Linked DNA regions of Nothobranchius furzeri. The protein of the gene in region 2 interacts with the protein of the main gene of each other region in a pairwise test. Links are inferred from orthologs where the notes say so. Each region holds a gene or a part of one and is shown on either strand. Other genes may lie near its edges.

Evidence for each region.
Region 1: the proteins of hnrnpul1 (region 2) and prmt2 interact in a two-hybrid assay, tested with the Homo sapiens proteins (2 studies listed by BioGRID and IntAct). The link is inferred for Nothobranchius furzeri from reciprocal best matches to the Homo sapiens genes HNRNPUL1 and PRMT2.
Region 3: the proteins of hnrnpul1 (region 2) and sf3b4 interact in binary tests that used the Homo sapiens proteins (3 or more experiments, as listed by UniProt). The link is inferred for Nothobranchius furzeri from reciprocal best matches to the Homo sapiens genes HNRNPUL1 and SF3B4.

The regions. Positions count from the first base shown.
Region 1 is NC_091754.1:17,485,914-17,491,548, reverse strand, and holds the start of prmt2 (protein arginine N-methyltransferase 2), read right to left. Parts: upstream 3,334-5,635; 5' UTR 3,284-3,333; coding exon 3,197-3,283; exon of another isoform or gene 3,164-3,196; intron 3,132-3,163; coding exon 2,940-3,131; intron 1,536-2,939; coding exon 1,374-1,535; intron 1-1,373. Other genes in the region: ercc1 (DNA excision repair protein ERCC-1), read right to left, coding at 5,456-5,518, 5,601-5,635. UniProt on the Homo sapiens protein: Arginine methyltransferase that methylates the guanidino nitrogens of arginyl residues in proteins such as STAT3, FBL, histone H4. Acts as a coactivator (with NCOA2) of the androgen receptor (AR)-mediated transactivation.
Region 2 is NC_091753.1:58,647,020-58,652,452, reverse strand, and holds the start of hnrnpul1 (heterogeneous nuclear ribonucleoprotein U-like protein 1), read right to left. Parts: upstream 3,299-5,433; 5' UTR 3,208-3,298; intron 2,727-3,207; 5' UTR 2,692-2,726; coding exon 2,487-2,691; intron 2,106-2,486; coding exon 1,842-2,105; intron 1,696-1,841; coding exon 1,506-1,695; intron 467-1,505; coding exon 393-466; intron 1-392. Other genes in the region: opa3 (optic atrophy 3 protein homolog), read right to left, coding at 4,332-4,660.
Region 3 is NC_091759.1:1,629,258-1,634,812, reverse strand, and holds sf3b4 (splicing factor 3B subunit 4), read right to left. Parts: upstream 3,491-5,555; 5' UTR 3,256-3,490; coding exon 3,222-3,255; intron 2,786-3,221; coding exon 2,657-2,785; intron 2,572-2,656; coding exon 2,029-2,571; intron 1,935-2,028; coding exon 1,764-1,934; intron 1,539-1,763; coding exon 1,392-1,538; intron 1,297-1,391; coding exon 1,148-1,296; 3' UTR 969-1,147; downstream 1-968. UniProt on the Homo sapiens protein: Component of the 17S U2 SnRNP complex of the spliceosome, a large ribonucleoprotein complex that removes introns from transcribed pre-mRNAs.

The DNA.
Region 1 (5,635 bases), on a different chromosome or scaffold from region 2:
ATGTGGAGGTGCAGCGGGTCTACTCTGAGCCCCTCCCGGATGACCGAGCTTCTCTCCTCTACTCTAAGGGAGAGCCCGGCCACCCTGTGTAAAAAACTCATTTCGGCCGCTTGCATCCGATTCTGCAATCTTGTTTTTTCGGTCACTACCCAAAGCTTGTGACCACAGATGAGTGTTGGAACGTAGATCGACCGATAAATCTCGAGCTTTACCTTCCTGCTTTTATTGCCATACGTGCAATAAACAACCTTAGGAAATTGCTGCGGTACTTGGTGCAAAAAATAAAAATGAAATAAGAAATACGCACAATAAAAAAATAAATATAAAATTAGTGGCACTGAGCTGCTGTGAATATATAATATTAATATTATATAAAAAATTATATTATATTATTAATAAACCAAGAAACAAACTGCCTGGTTTTACACCATAAAAAAATTATGTTAGCTAGCTTATTAAATTGTTCTAATAATGGTAAATGGTCTGATTTTGTACAGCGCTTTGAATCATCTACTGACTCCAGGGCGCTTTATGCTCACATTCAAACACTGGTGGTGATGAGCTACACTGTAGCCACAGCTGCCCTGGGGCAACCCGACAGAAGCTAGGCCACCGGGTTCTCTGATCAACACAAGTACGCAACAAGTGTGACGTGTCTTGCCCACGGACACGACGACAGGTTGGTGGGAGCAGGGTTTGAACCAGCGACCTCAAATCAGTAACTGACCACTTCTTCCACCTCCCACATGTTACATGGTTACGATGCGTTACACTATTTAAAAAAATGGCAGAAAAGGTGCCAACAACAAGTTGAAAAGACTTTTATCGTTGTTGGACGGCATTCGTATGGTCTGGTGTTAGAACATTTTCTATGACTCCAGGGGGGTCTGCAGAAAAAGGGGTTGAACCTGTTTTTTTTTAATGTAGCTCATTTGAACGTCCGTTTCCTACAACATCCACTGCACCTTTAAATAGCCTGGCCAGCCTTCCTTATGGGAAGCATTGGCATGTTGTAGAATAGACAGAGGGTGAGTCTGGCAGGCCAGGCTACCTTAGAAACACGAAGCTGTTCAAACCAAAGGGTTCAGTCCTGTAGAAATAGTGTTTGTCCACCAGATGGCGCTCTAACCAAACTGTTCAACATAAAGTTGACCTGAACCACTTAGTGACTGTTTCTTTCCAATTTGTCTTTTTTTTAATTAAAACCTTAAAGGCATCAAGTTAAAATTTTACTTTGTATGATATATAAAGAGATCTTTACTCTGAATATATGGAATCATAGAATAATAATCATTCAGGAGACACTTGCATACTTTAATGCTAACTGAACATTCATTTAAGCCGACATGGTTGAATTTCAGTGTCACAATTACCACTGACGGTTGCGCCAACTGAGCGCAGAACAAGCTGATGATGCCGGTTCCACAGCCGAGGTCCATCACCGCCTTGTTCTTCAGGGAGGCACTGTTGCGGAGAACAACCTGCCGGTACGTCTCGGTGCGGCTCCTGTCCGACAACATCTCTAGGTGAAGCTTCTGCATCGTAAGAGATAAACTGAATTTAACATGATGACATGGAGGGGTGAAAATATATCAGAACCATCAGAAACCGTGCTCCCAATCACTCCCGCTAACAGATGAAAAGTAGCAACATAAAACACATGTGTGGTTGATGGTGTGAAAGCAAACCCAACAGGTTTTAATTATGTAGCAGAAGGTGATTAATAAGTGGACGTGAGCACAAGGGCAGCTAGGTTGCTTTATTGAATATGCTGACGTGGTCGCTTTGGCTCATTGATCCTTTACCTGACCGAGGTGCAAATTAGAATCCACAACTTTGACTAAGTCTGAAACATCAGCAGCCTCACCGTGCTGTAAACTGTTCAGTTCCTGATGCCGTTCATGGTTCTGAGGCAGGAAACAAGATTTGTAATAAGCCCCTTTGTTCTATTCCAAACGCTTTTTCAGTTTTTGACTTGAATCCATAACGCTGTGCACACAACACTCCAGCAAATATATTCCATTTAATGGTCTGTTTTCTCTGCAGAGGAAAATCACAGTCACGATACGATTTTCAGAAATACAAAAGATCTGCAGGACCAGTCCTCTAGTCCCTGCAGTCGTAAAGAACAGAGGAGGCTAATGTGACTTTTTAATGGTGCTGCACTCTTTCTGACTATGTGCAGAAATCTCTGCACAACAAATCCATAATAAACCTGCAAATAACCTCTTAATTATTAAAGATTTGTTGAGGTAAATATCTATTCCTAGCCCCCACAAAATGAACACATAACATGCATGAATGACGAGGACAAGAAATCTCCTCTAATGAACAGAACAGTGGCAGAATCTCATTATCGATTTCCGGTGTTGTTATTAACAAAGCTTGAATTTTGTCAAAAACTCAAAAACACGTATTAATGTTTCTTTTATTTTAATGGCATTAAAGTATTTTTGAATCCGCCGCAAACTCATATGCTTCAATGCTACTGAGACAACATCAGTAAAGTCTCTACGGAGGTTAGAGATTAGGATTTAGGTGGAGAACAGGCCACACACACTGCTGCCTCAGGAGACTAACACTTTATTTATTTTTTTAACTTCAGCAGCATTCCTGGATGTAAAAATAAACCCCAAACTAAGCAGATTCTGCAAAAAAATTAAATAAATAAAATTTAAGAATGACATAATCATCTAAGGAACAACAGATGGGATATTTTCTCTGTGGGTGTGCCATTTCACTATTATTTCTCAAGTATTGTACTTTTTAAGTTTTTGTGTGCTTTACAGTCAAAACCTGACATGATATAGTGTAGAGCTCAAATTCAGGCTAAACTTATGAAGATATTGCAGCTTCTACACATTCTAAATGCACAAGTGTTGCTTTAATCATGCAAACCGACCTAAAGTTTCATAGGATAAATGTTTGATGTTTCTGACCAGTGTTCCATAGCTCCCAAAGTACTCTTCATCCTGCCAGGGGTCTTCTATAGAGGTGTCTTCCTCCTCAGCTGTGTCCTGGCGCAGGTAGCTGGCAGGGACATACCCTATGACCCCACGGACCTCCGCCCACCACCAGGCTGCAGAAGGTTTGGCGTGAACAAGCAGCTTGTCCCCTGAGCTGAAACTAAGCTGCGGGACACAAGTGATGAAGTGAGTGTGTTCTGTGGCTGAACCGCTGTTTGTTTGCCTCTAACCTGCTCGGAGCCACTTCCTGAGAAATCAGACAAAGCCACAAACTCTTCAGGAGACGCGTCTTCTTCGTCCTCTTTCTCCGCCTCCATGTTCCAGAGGGTTCAGGCGAGTGAAGTGGTTTTGTTTTATAAATTGTCTCAAATTTTGAACCTGACAAATCTGGGTTTAAAAATAACCAAAACGTGCTTTGTTACCACAGCGAAACAAGCGGTAAAACGCGTCACGCACTTCCTGCTTTGGTGCTGCCTTCAAGTCTGTCGGAAATAGCTGAATTCGTGCGTGACCACTGTTTACACGCACATAGCATATCGTGCTTTAAAAAGAACTGAAAGATAGAATTTGAAACTAAACACAGCAAGAACACACCAACGATAGCAGATCATTTAAAGGGGAACTGCGAGTTTTTATTTTACTCTCTAGACCAGGGATGTCCAAACTTTTCAAGGCGAGGGCTAAAATGGCTGTTTAAAGTCACTGGGGGCCACAAGAATGTAGGTTTCTTCATAAAAAATTGCAAGCATTATTTTGTGGCAATTTTTCTTATTTGTGCTCTTCAAAATGAACCCAAAATAGGCTAATAAGTAAAAATCTCAACACAAACATGTTAGAAAGTGGGTTACATTCCACATGGAAAGACAAAATTCATCATTCTAAAAATTCAAATGGAGGCCTTACAAAATCGCTTGGAGGGCCGTAAATGCCCCCCGAGCCACACTGGACACGCCTACTCTAGAGTAAATACAAAACTATATAATTAAGCTCCTTGCTCAAAACTAGTCTCGCATAAAGTGAGCAGCTTTTTAAGTACTTTCTAGAATGAGCCGTTCTTTCACTTTAAGCAAAACAGTTTCTGGTCCCTGATTGGTTGCCGTTGGAGGAGGTCATCCAGCATCTGAAGTTGAAGGGATTCTATGATAATTTTATTTGTGATGTCACAATATAGAATTTTTTGAAAAATAGTTTTTTCTGTTCTTATCTTGCACACAGAGTAGCAAAGTTTTGTTTTTTTACGTTACCTGCTGAAAGTTTCGGCGTTGCAGAGATTCGCCATTCTGGCGGCGTCACTTCCGCTGTTTATCCACTGAAGATGCCTAAACGAAGCGATTGAGATTGGTAAACGTGGACTCTGGGCCATGAAAAGTGATGGAGTTTACACGCTGGATCATTCATGGGACGTGGTGATCGGCAGGGAAGGTGCGGGCTGTAGAGGGCGACATCGTTCCACACCGCCCGGGATTAACAGCAGAAGTGACGACACCGCAGAAGCTCTGATGATGGCGACTGTGATGCCCTGTCAGCAAAAAAAAAAAAAAAAAAAAAAAAGATAAAGAAGAAAAAACATTTTGCTTCGCTTTACAAAATAAGAACAGAAAACCCATGGAAATAGAAGAGAAACACAGAAAAGCACAAGGAATTTTTGAAACAGCTCATTTCAGACGAATAACACCTGAAGTCAAACTCAACAAGTGAAAGCACAGATTTTATCCTTGTTTGGATATGTGTAGGGGTAGTAGAGTCATATGGCAGCTCTAAAAATGCAAAAAGTGCATTTTGCACACGTCCCTGTGAGTTTATTGACGTTGGGGAAAAGCTGGTTATTTTTCAGCTTGAATTGCTTGTTCTTCTCATATTCTACATGTTTGAATTTTTTTATTTAAAGTACATAAAAGGAAAAAAAAAAACAACTTTGCCTAAACTGGTTCGTAAATTAAATTTTCAATTGTGAAAAATCTAATATTTGTTTCCTACAATGGCTTGGGAATCAGAATCAGAATCGGTTTATTGCCATTGTCAGTGAACAAACAATTCACAAACTAGGAACTTGCTTTGGTACTAAAGTGCTACATATAACATGAACACATAATAAGATTAAAAATAGAATAAAACTTTCAGCTATAAAAATGGCAGGTAATGGTAACACGGCCGATAACGTGACGAACAACACCCAATCCACTTTGGTATGTTAATCTGTATTTATGTAACTTTTCTAAACATAAACTTGCCTCTACTTAACACTTATTGGCAGTGTATAAATGTAGAGTGACAGTATACAGTATAAAATAACATTTATTATAATATTAACAAATTTAATTACAAAACCAACAAAACATAGAAACATCACTGGGTAATTTTCAGTGAGATAAACATGTTACAGCTTTTGGTAGATCGGTAAGTTTTGATAGTACAATAAAATGCTTATTGGTTGTGTTTCATTGTTTGTCAACATGAAGCTCTTCCCTGACACTTTCTGGGTCAAACATCTAGCTGTTGTTGGTCTTCGACTTGAGAAAAGGTTTGTGGAGAACATCATACAGTCGCTTCGCCTGTGAACACAAAACAACACAACAGTTTAACAGTTGTCCTACCCATAAGCAGCATTTTTAAGTTCTGTGTGTTGTTCTGCACCTTTTGTGGTCCAAGACCCGGACAGAGAACCAAGT
Region 2 (5,433 bases):
ATTTATTAAAAAGGTGAACTGGGATCATGTCCTGTTTTTGGTAACGTTTCAGACTTGGTTGATATGTGAATGTGACCGTATCAGATCTGAGTGTTGAGTCTAACCCAGCAGCTGTGTCTGGAGCCTCTGTGTTACTGAGAACTGAGGCTGCTGCAGCCAGAACCAACACCAAGCACTAAGTTCATGGCAGACCAATCTCCAGACCACAGCTGATTTGGAAAACAAGATTTCAGACCTCTCAGTGGAAACGGAGGACGTGATTAGCGTTAGCCTCAAATCCAGCTAACTCTGACCCGTTAGAACGCCTCCAGCAGAAGAAACGAGAGCCGTCACTTGAATTTTTACACCAAATGTGGGTTTTTAAAGATGAAAAAGTAAAAGTTTGAACTTACATGGATCAATTGTCACTAGAGTGTCGTCAATGTTCTCCTCCTCATCTTCAGCAGGAGGCTGGGGTGTTCGAGATCTGTGCACAACCAGAAAAGGATCACCTTTAGAGGCTTGAACAGAAAGTGGTCTGGTTTGGGTTACAGCAGCTGCGTTATTTTACATCACTTTGAAGTTGGATACAAAATGCCATTTACAGCTTTTTTCCCGTGAAAATAGCACATTTTTCCCTTGAAAAATATTTCATAAGTCAACATTTTTTTGATTAATTTAATTTTTGGCTGCAGAACTCACAAAACACAATAAAACATTTGCATTTCTGATATTTGATGCCTTCAGTGTGGTTTATGATTAAAGTATGCACTGAAAAAAATAACAATTTAAATATTTCTGTGTCAGAGCTTTGGAATGACACACGCAGGCATACAAATGTTTGTTTAGTCTTTCTACTTTTCCCTTCTGGTGCACAAAAACACTTACACACAGACGGCCAGTTGAACCGTTTATTGCAAAACATCACACAAAGAACAAGTGAGGGTGTGAGTGGTGGGGGCGCTGACCGGTGCAGACAATGCAAAGAACAGTTATGTGCTCTTTGCACACAGCCTGTCCACATTTACTGCAGACGCGTGCACGCACACTCCTCTTCCCTATGCAGAGGTGGCATTTTTTTTTATTGCTGCAGTCGGCACAGAAAGACACCCAGCCAGCCTGACTCGGTAAATAATGCAGGGAAAACTCTTTATGCATATTTGTCAATAGTTGAAAGCAATTTTACCTTTAGTTTTCCTCCTTGCACTATTAGAGTAACACAAGAAGAACGTATTTTTATAAAGCACTTCTCCAAATTAAAATCACAACAAGTCGCTTCACAAACACATTAAAACATGAAGAATAAAACAGATAATGGGAGAAAAAATGATGTTTTCATGGTATAATTTATATGGTTATTTTGTGACCATGTTGAACTTTGATTTCAATAAAATCGTGAATTAAACTCAAATCGCAATTTCTTGCAAATGTTCAGCCCTAATTTGCAAAGACAAAATTACTCACAAAAACACAAACACTGTGTACAAAAAAATACATCAAGAAGCTTTATGGGTTAAGCAACTTACCTCTTCTCGTAGCCGTAGCGCCGGTTCTCCTCGTGTGGCCTCTTACGGCTGTAGTTTCCACCTTTATCTTCCACTTTCACCCGCTCAGCCAAGTCTGCAGCATCTCGTTCTTGCTGCTGCTCTCCATCCTGCTGTTTGTTTTCAACAGGTTCAGTCTCCTCTTCTTCTGTTTTTACTTTGACTGCAACTTCTAAAATACAAAATCATTTTTAACATGTGAATAAAACTCGCTGTCAAATGTTCTCTCAGCAGAATAACAGTGACCACATGATTAAATTAACAACATTTTTGTGGTAGAACTACAAAATGCTTGAAAGTTAGAAACTGAATAGTAACCATTTTTAATCTCCACTCTCTCCTCCGGCAATTCTTCTGGTTTTGTCTCCTCCTCAAACATGTTTGATCCGTGAATATCCTCATCTGCTGTGAAGTCCGGTGCGCCTTGACCCAAATCTGAATCTTGCTGGCCTTTGCGAGGCTCGCCTTCTGCCTCCTCTTCCTCATAATAGCCACCAGAATCTCTGCCTTCATCTTCGTCTTGCGGAACATTTTCATCATCACCACCACTTTCATTTCCAAAGTCTTGAGCTGCATTTGCACCTAAAACGGAGAAAACGTTTAATTGCAAAAAAAGTCAAATGAATGATTTAAAAGATATATATATTTATTTTATGGAGACTAGTAAACAAACAAGTTGTGTTCAAATATTTTTTTCTAAAATAAACAAGAACAATTTTTTTTATAATCGTGTAAAACAAAATACAAAGTGTCAAACTACCAAAACAATCTTAAACTCAAATCAATTAAGTAGTAGTAGATGAAGTAACTGTTTATGAGCAAATGAGACAATGACACGTGTCATCTTAGCAGCAGGCTTGGGGAATTATTGTTCATAACTTTTAAAGTGTGAAATGGTCCCAAATCCTAAACTAGACAGCGAATAAAAGAGTAAAGCTATAACTACAGCTAACGGAGCTCTACCTTGTTCCTCTTCTTCCTCCTGGTATTCCTGATTGTGGGCATCCTCCTGCTCTGCCTGTTCAGATGTTTCCTCCTGAGCTTCTTCCTCCAGGGCGGATTTCAGCCTCTCCATCAAGTCCGCCTTCAGGCCTTTAGTATCCAGGCCGCGGCGCTGGAGCTCTTCCTTCAGCTCGTTTACTTTCAGTTTCTTTACGTCTAAACTCATGGTCGATGTAATTTGTTCACGGTTGTGGTCTTTCTCTAACAACGCAGAAAGAACAGAAGCGTAGTTAGCATCGATGAGCCCCAACTTTCAAACGGATCCTTGTCGCGCCGTTTCTGCCTGAACAGGATACGTAATGTTTTAGCTAGGCTAACACCTATGAACAGATTTACACAACTCAAATATGAAGTCTTGATGACCTATAACAGACAAGGCTCGTAAATATGTTTAAATTTATGTTCTGTGAGATGAAAAAATGTCACTCAACTACATTTGTTTGTTTCCTATAATGAAAATTGTCAGTGCGGCTAACGACGGATACACTTTGAGACTAGCGTTAGCTTGTGTTCCGTCAAGCAATGCAACACAAGATACTTTAATTTTGATAAAATACGCCTTCTGTAATGCGCCTTCTGATACTTAAGATTCTCATGCAGATGCTACAGTAAATGCATCGCACATACACTTTATAACGTAATAATAAAATACAATTTCATTACAAATATAGCTGAGGCCTACCTTCTTTGACGCGAGCTGCGCGGGTTATAGTCGAGGTAAAAGACTGAAAGAACAACTAGCGCCCCCTAGAGCCGCACACCAACATCACGACAGTAAATCCAATGCGCACGCGCAAAAGGGTCGGTTTTTCACTATTACCCTTTTCTAATGTTTTTCCGAAATGGTAAATTTATAATTGACTTTATTAAAGTATTCACACTAATGTGTCGGTCTACACACATATATGAAATTGTGGCAGTGATTATATATATATATATACATATATATATATATATATATATATATATATATATATATATATATATATATATATATATATATATGTATATATAGCTATGAGGCCTTGTTTATAAGTAAAACATCTGTTTTATCTTTATTTTAGGTAGGCCTAGCTACAGTTGTCTTATTGTAATTTCCTCTGTGTACAGGACTTACCTGGGCTTTTATGTCCTGCGTAAAGTGCTTTATAAATAATCTGTAACTGGAAATAGTTAAGTGAATTTAAAACTACACATCAAGTAAAAACTCAAGCATCAAGCGCATAATACAGCACACCCATGGTTTAGCTCACACTGAAGAGGGGATAACAACAGAATTACACAGCATATTGATTTAACACCATCCTTACTCAGGTTTATATAAACCAATAATCATACATCTGATGTAAAAACTGTAGAAAAATAACAGCTGTGATCTGATTTAATTTTTTTGGAATGCATTTAATAACTCAGAACACAAATCATCTGCTGAGAAACACAAAGCAAAATGTTCAAATTCTATAAGATTTGTTTACTTGAATTGATATGGAAGTATGCTCAAGCTGCTATAAAATAAATTAACTCTAAGTTCACCATTGCCTCTCATGTAGTTAATTTTATTTTAAGTAAACATGCAAAGTCATCGATCAAAATTTACTATGAATATCATAGTGTTCCTTTATTGTTGCTCAAAGCATGAGCAAATGATAGCTCCCAAACTCACAGTGCACTGATGTCCACCTTTTTCTCCCAGCTCTGTGGCGGGGGGCAGTGTGGAGAAAGGCAGAAATCAAGTTGTGCACTTGACAGTGTTGTTTGAATGCACCTTCACACACAGGCCAACAATTAAATGCATATCAAATGTTGTCACTTTTTAGTGGGAGCAGGCAAGTAAAGCAGGAGCCTCTTGACCTCCTTCAGCTGAGTGTCAAGAGTCTCTGTTGTTAATGTTAACTCTGCTATTTCAGTCTTTAGGCTTGTGATAGTCTCGTTCAGCTCCTCCTCCTTGCGACGGGAGTTGGCGGCCTGCCTGCTGTACTCCACCACCATACACCCGCCACCGATAAGGAAAATGATTGCCTCTCCCAGCAACTCTGCACCCAACTCTGCTGCCGCATCCTCGTTCAGCGGCTTGATGGTGGCGCCCTTGAAGCCCATGATCCGCATCTTCGTTCTCATTTCGATCCAGTGATACACTGCAAGAACAAACAGAAGAACGCATGAGTTAAGCTTTCATTCTTGCACATAAAACACCCAAACTTGAAAAAGTGAACAAAAAAAGCCTCAAATTTATGGCAGAATAGAACTCAAGGCAATAGTTTTATAGCACAAAAATATTATAGACAGATGTTTTCTCTTTTCATTGTTTTAGGGTGTTTAGTGAGAAACTGGCATGCACAGGAAAACAGAAACGTTCTTCAAATCCCTTTTAAAGGCTTTATTTCTAACAGTTAATGTGTAATTTTAATATCCTTATTTAGTTTTTGTTTAGAGTACTCCATCAAGGGATTGCCACTGTTTTGCACATACCAACCTCAGTCTGTACATTTTATATCTCTTATCTTATTGTTTACTTTATTCATTTGTATATTTAGATTAGCCATTTTTATATTTTACTTGTTTTTACATTACTGTATTTTTGCACAACTCTGTTGCTGTGAAGCTCGCACACAAGAATTTCACTCGCATGTACTGTACCAGTGTACCTGCACATGTGACGTGACAATAAAAGTGATTTGATTTTATTTGATCTGCCCAGCCCCACAAGCAAGGCTTTTCCATGAATGACGGCACCAGAATCCTTTCACTTTTGCTTCTTTTATTAAAATTGTAAATAAATAGAAAAATTGCTGTAATTTTGCGTGTTTTGAGATACAGCTGCATTCATAGCAAAGAACGAGATAGCATGACATGCCCTGTTAGCTTTAGTTGCAGGTAAAGCAGCGTTTAGGTTAGCGAAACAAACGTA
Region 3 (5,555 bases), on a different chromosome or scaffold from region 2:
GCAGCGTGAAGCGCGCGGTCGGTGCGCACGCCCATCGCATCTTTCACAAGATGTCTTCATGTGAGAAGAAGAGGAAGAGGAGGAAGAAGAGGAGGGGGTAAAGCAACGAAGCTGCAACCAATAGCGTAAAAAATCCACTCACCTTAAATCCTGCGAGTCTCCAGCGCGGAGATGGAGAGGAAGAGGAGGAGGATGCGCACGAGGCTGTTGCTGTAAACCGAGTGATGATGATGATGATGCGCGCTTCGGAGGAGAGAAGCCCACGCCATCCACGCACACCGAAGTGGTCCCCTCCCCCCCTCGCGAGCTCACATCTCGCAGCGCACATCTTATTTTCTGGCGCAAATCTGTGCATAATTAGCGATTTGTTTAATTTTTTTTAAATGCGCGTTTTTATATTTTTAAGTTCAGGAACAATGTGTCCAAAAACCGGAACTCATCACACTATCAAACGTTGCGCACGTGCGATTACGCCTGATTCCTGTTGCCATGACAACCTTTGGTTGCTTCGGGATTGGCTCCAAGGTACTTCTTACTAATATTTTTTTAACTTCAACTGTGAGAAAATAAATGCGCAAATCAGCTGATGGATCTATTTTAGGAAAATTAAATACAGCATCCAAAACTTAAGGAAACTATTCTCCCCTTTTCTTTTATTTCACAACTGACTAAAAAAATTTTGTAGAGCAATAAATGTCCAAAGAAAACATTTTAAAAAAATTCTTTTAAAAATATTTTTGGATTTTAATCCCAACAGTAGGGAATATCACTTTACTTTTTAAATAAAACCATAATACCTGAGAGTATATGACCTACTGGGGCCCCTGCCTCAAGTTATAAATACCTTTTGGACATAAATTAGAACATATTACTCTCTCACCTGCTTATTATGCAGCTTTTACTCATAAACTAATTTCTGGTACATTACAAGTTTATTAGTAATAATTAAACGCAAAAATATCCAAAAGTTGTACTAAAATGTTTATTTGCCAATTTTCTGTTTATCTGTACAATGAGCATAAATCAAAAACAGTTGGTTAAATTACTTCCAAGATAACAAAATCCAGTAGATCGAAACATGTATTTAAAAAAACAACAAGCTGAATGTTCCTGTGGTCTGACGTGGATCACGGAGCTCTTGGTGCTCTCAAGGGACCCGAGGAGGGGCACCGGGAGGTCTTGGTGGCATTGGAGGTGCTCTCTGGAAACCAAAAGGAGGTGGACGAGGAGGAACGGCACCATAGCCGGGAGGAGGCATGGGGGGAGGTCCTCTCATACCTGGAGGCACAGGGTGGGCTTGGGAAAAAAAAAAAAAAAAAAAGAAATAACAGGTTAAAAACAACTTTCATTTAAAAAAAATTGTATTTTTGAGAAAATGCCACAGTGCTCACCCATGGGGGGTCCATACGGTGCTCTGGGAGGCATGCCCATAGGAGGTGGGGGCATGCTGGGGGGCGGTGGAGCTCGAGCCGATCCTGGTGGAGCAGGTGGAGGCACCATGCCAGGAGGAGCAGGCGGCATGGGCATCTGAGGCATACCTGTGGGCCCGGATCAAACAAATAAAAATAACTCATTCAGGGCTAACAGCTGCATTTTAATAACCTGACATTTAAATTGAAACATTATTGTTTTTATTTCTTCACATTTGAAGGAGATGACTGAGGTTGATCCTGCACAATTTTATTAATCGTTATTGGACTTCTTAAAGCTAAAATGGGGAGCAGAGACTTAAATTTTCAGGCTTTTCTGCAACCGAGTTATACCTGGAGGCATGCTGGCCGGTGCGAAAGGTGGAGGAACAGCTGGAGGTCCACCAAGAGAAGATGGAGGACCTGGTGTCCCTGCTGATGGAGGCATGCCCATAGAAGGGGGCATCGTTGGAGGCATTGATCCAGGGGGAGGAACGTGAGGAAAGGCACCAGGAGGCGGCAAACCTGCGCAAAAAAAAAAACAAAACTATTATATAATTAACCCAATAAATGTAGAAAGGTACTTCTTTATCGGCAGTTAAGATTAGAGCAGTCATACCATGAAGAGGAATCCCGGGGCCCATTGCGGTTAGGAGTGGCGTCTGTGCAGATGGTGGGGGCGGAGCATCTGCAAACAGCTGATGTGGCCTGTCTGCCTGCGAGAGAGGGTTTTGTGCAGCTAGCAGTCGCTCTGCCGCTGAGCCATGGCGTTCTCCTTTAGAATCTTTCTTGAACGCGTACGACACAGTGATGGGCCGGTTGCACAGGTACTGGCCATTCATGGCCTCGATGGCGGCGTCGGACGCATCAAAGCTGGCAAAGTTGATGAAGGCGTAACCCTTGGAGTTGCCGGTGTCTGGGTCTCGCATGATCTTTGGAGTTTGTAGAATAACGCCAAAAGCACTGAACGTGTCGTAGAGCAGTTTTTCATCGATCTCCGGGTCCAAGTTCCCGATGAAGATATTAGCGCCAACATCCAGGTTTTTGTTGTGGGCGGAGGCCTTATTCACGCGAATCGGTTTGCCGTAGAGCTTAATCATGTTCATGATTTTAATGGCATAGTCAGCATCTTCCTCACTGAGGAACTCCACAAATCCATAACCTGAGTGGAACAGTTTCATTTGTTATGTACATTGTTACAGTGAATTTTAGGACTTTCATCCCATCTTGAATAGCCTGATTCTCACCTTGATGTTGACCTGTGACCCGATCTTTGGGCATGTGTGTGTTGACAACAGGGCCAGCCTGCAGAAAAAGCTCCCATAGCAACGGCTCTGACACCTTCTCATCCAAACCACCGACATACACGGTGGCATCTGGAAACACAAGAAAATACCTATTAAGGAAAACGGTGTTTACATTGATAGGTGAGCATTGCTACATGCTAATGTCGCGAGTTTTTAAGGCTAACTTTAGTTGTTTAGTGGTTCTAGTCCTGACTTGGAATAATCTCTGCATTTCAAATAAACAACATAAAACTCCCGTATGCTATCGTGAAGTCAAGCATTAAGTAATACAAGCATTAAGTAATACAATTAAAATAAACAAAAAACGGCTAACTTAGCTAGAAGCTAGGCTAACGAGACCGGAGACTTCCATGTGTTTGAGTACGCATTTACCCCCAAAACACGGGCTAATTAGACAGCTAACATTGGTGGGAAAGAGCGGATAAGAATTTCAATTGTTATAAATCAAGAGATATCGCTAAATAATGAAGGTGTAAGCGTTAAACCATTTAAACAATGAAATTACCTTGGTTTCTTTCTGAAATTGGTCCCGCTGCCATGTTGAATGACCAACGCTGGGAGAGCGTTGTGAAGGGAAGGCCCGCCTCTTCCGGTAAAACCCAACAAAATAAAATAAGATCAAATAAATTAAAGTAAAAATAAACTAATTCTTCTGTTTTTGTAGTTACATAAAAAATTGTTATACTCTGATTACACTAAAGACCCAGACATTCCTAAACAAAAAAAGACAGCAAATAAATGAATGTTAATTAAAAACTTGAAAGGCAATCAAAATCACTAAGTTTCATTTGAATTGATTTGATAGTTTTTTCTGGGATATTTTTAGTTGTATGGCACTTAACCATTAACAACAAATTCAAAACAAAGCCACAATTATTTTTATTATTTGATTTATTTCATATACATATAAATATACTAAAGGTATAAACATGGAATACAAAGTGTTCATAGAAAATACACACATTTAGGGTCTCAAAAATTTTAGAAAGTAACTATTTTTTATATATATATATATATATATATATAAAACACACATTAAAAATAGAAACTAACATCATGCACCAAAGACAAAAAATAAAACTGTTGCCAAAGCTGTTTATAAAATGAATTTAAAATAAGCATCAGTAAGGGAGCCTTCATAGATAATAGTCATTAAAATAACTGAAAGAGCTGAGAATAATTAATGGCTTGTGAAGAAAAATACATCTACTGAACTTTATTTTAAAAAGTAAACCTTAAAAATAAACAAAATTAAAGACCTCCAGGCTCACTCATTAAACCTGCTCAAATACACTTATTACATTTTCTTTTTTTGGCCCCTAAAACGAGAACAGAATTTCACAACACAAACCAAATAATGCAACACATATTTCACAAGCTGATTCACTAAAACCCGGTGTTCATAAACACAATCGCCTTCTTTTAACCTTCATAATATTTGTCACATAATAAAGAAATAATTTGACATTATGGCATAAATATGAGAAAGTATAGCACTGTCATGATACTTAGAGATAGTTTGGCTAGCAGGGAGCGAACCAAGTTGCTTCCTGGTTAGGAAGTGTTGCTTGGCAATCACCAAAGACCACAGAAAGAGAAAGGTTTAGACTAATTAAAAAAAACAAGTTATAGGCTGTTTTGCAATATGAGTACTTGTTTAAACGTGTGTACTATATTAATTGTGAAATGTCATTGGCGTTAGCCCGTGTACTGTTCCAATACCAAGTACGCATCATGGCAAGTACGCTCAAAGTTCCTGGATGTGTTCGTCCTTCACCCATTACAATAAAGTATCCATCTTTGGACTTGGACCAGAAAAGTATCCCATAATGCATTTAGTCACAAACCGTTATACCACAAATAGATAGTAAAGCTCATAAAAATAAAAATAATTACGTCTTCAAAGGGCCGCTCAAAAGACTGGCTCTTTTGAACGAAGCAAAGAAGTCTCAGTGAGAGTGGAAGGAGGGGGGCTGTTCATGATGGACGAAACCATAATGCATATTATTGAGCCTTTTATATACTTCAGCCTGATAATTTTGTTGTTTTATTTCATATTTTTTAGCAGTAAACCAGTTTTTTTTCGCTTGAAACGTTGTCGGATGGAATAGTCAATTAATCAACAGAAGCTTAGAATAGAACACTTAACAAAAAAATATTTAGCCTTTAAAAAAGAGAGGCAGTTGAATGCACAGAGTATGCATGTGCCGGCGCATGGTCAGGATGGTACCACCTTTGACTCAATTTGAGCCAGGAAAACCCTGGTTTAAAATAAAATTATTTTTGTATTTTCTTTTCTATTAAAAAAATCCAATTTTTCTGTCCCAAGAGGACAATTTAGGCTCTCGTCTTGAAAAGTTTGGACACCCCTGTTTGGCTAAAGGTAGCTATAGTATATGCATTATTCTATAAAAGACAGAGAAAAGCTACTCTCTTTAATAAAACTAAACTCTTCCTTCTAGTGTTTTATTTGCCAGCTACTAAAATTCTGTGTAATAAGTTTCAGCTGCTGATAATTTAGCTTTCAGCCACAAGAATGAGCCCGTGTGTTTCTGCTTTCCAAGCTTCTGCTCATTTCTCTCAAATCAAGAGCCCCGCTTCAACAATGACTCGCTTGTCTTTTTTACATTAAGCTGCCAAAATACTTCTTGTTGAAATGCCTTTATAATGTATTAAATATATTCTAGAAAAAAAAAGAAAAATATGTTTTTAAATTCAACATTTAACCCTAATAATAAGAGTGAGTTACATGGTTTTCAGTCCTAACACTGAGGCTCTAAGCAACTGCGATCATATGGAGTAGCTTTATAGTTGAAAGCACTTAAAAAATAAAATAAAA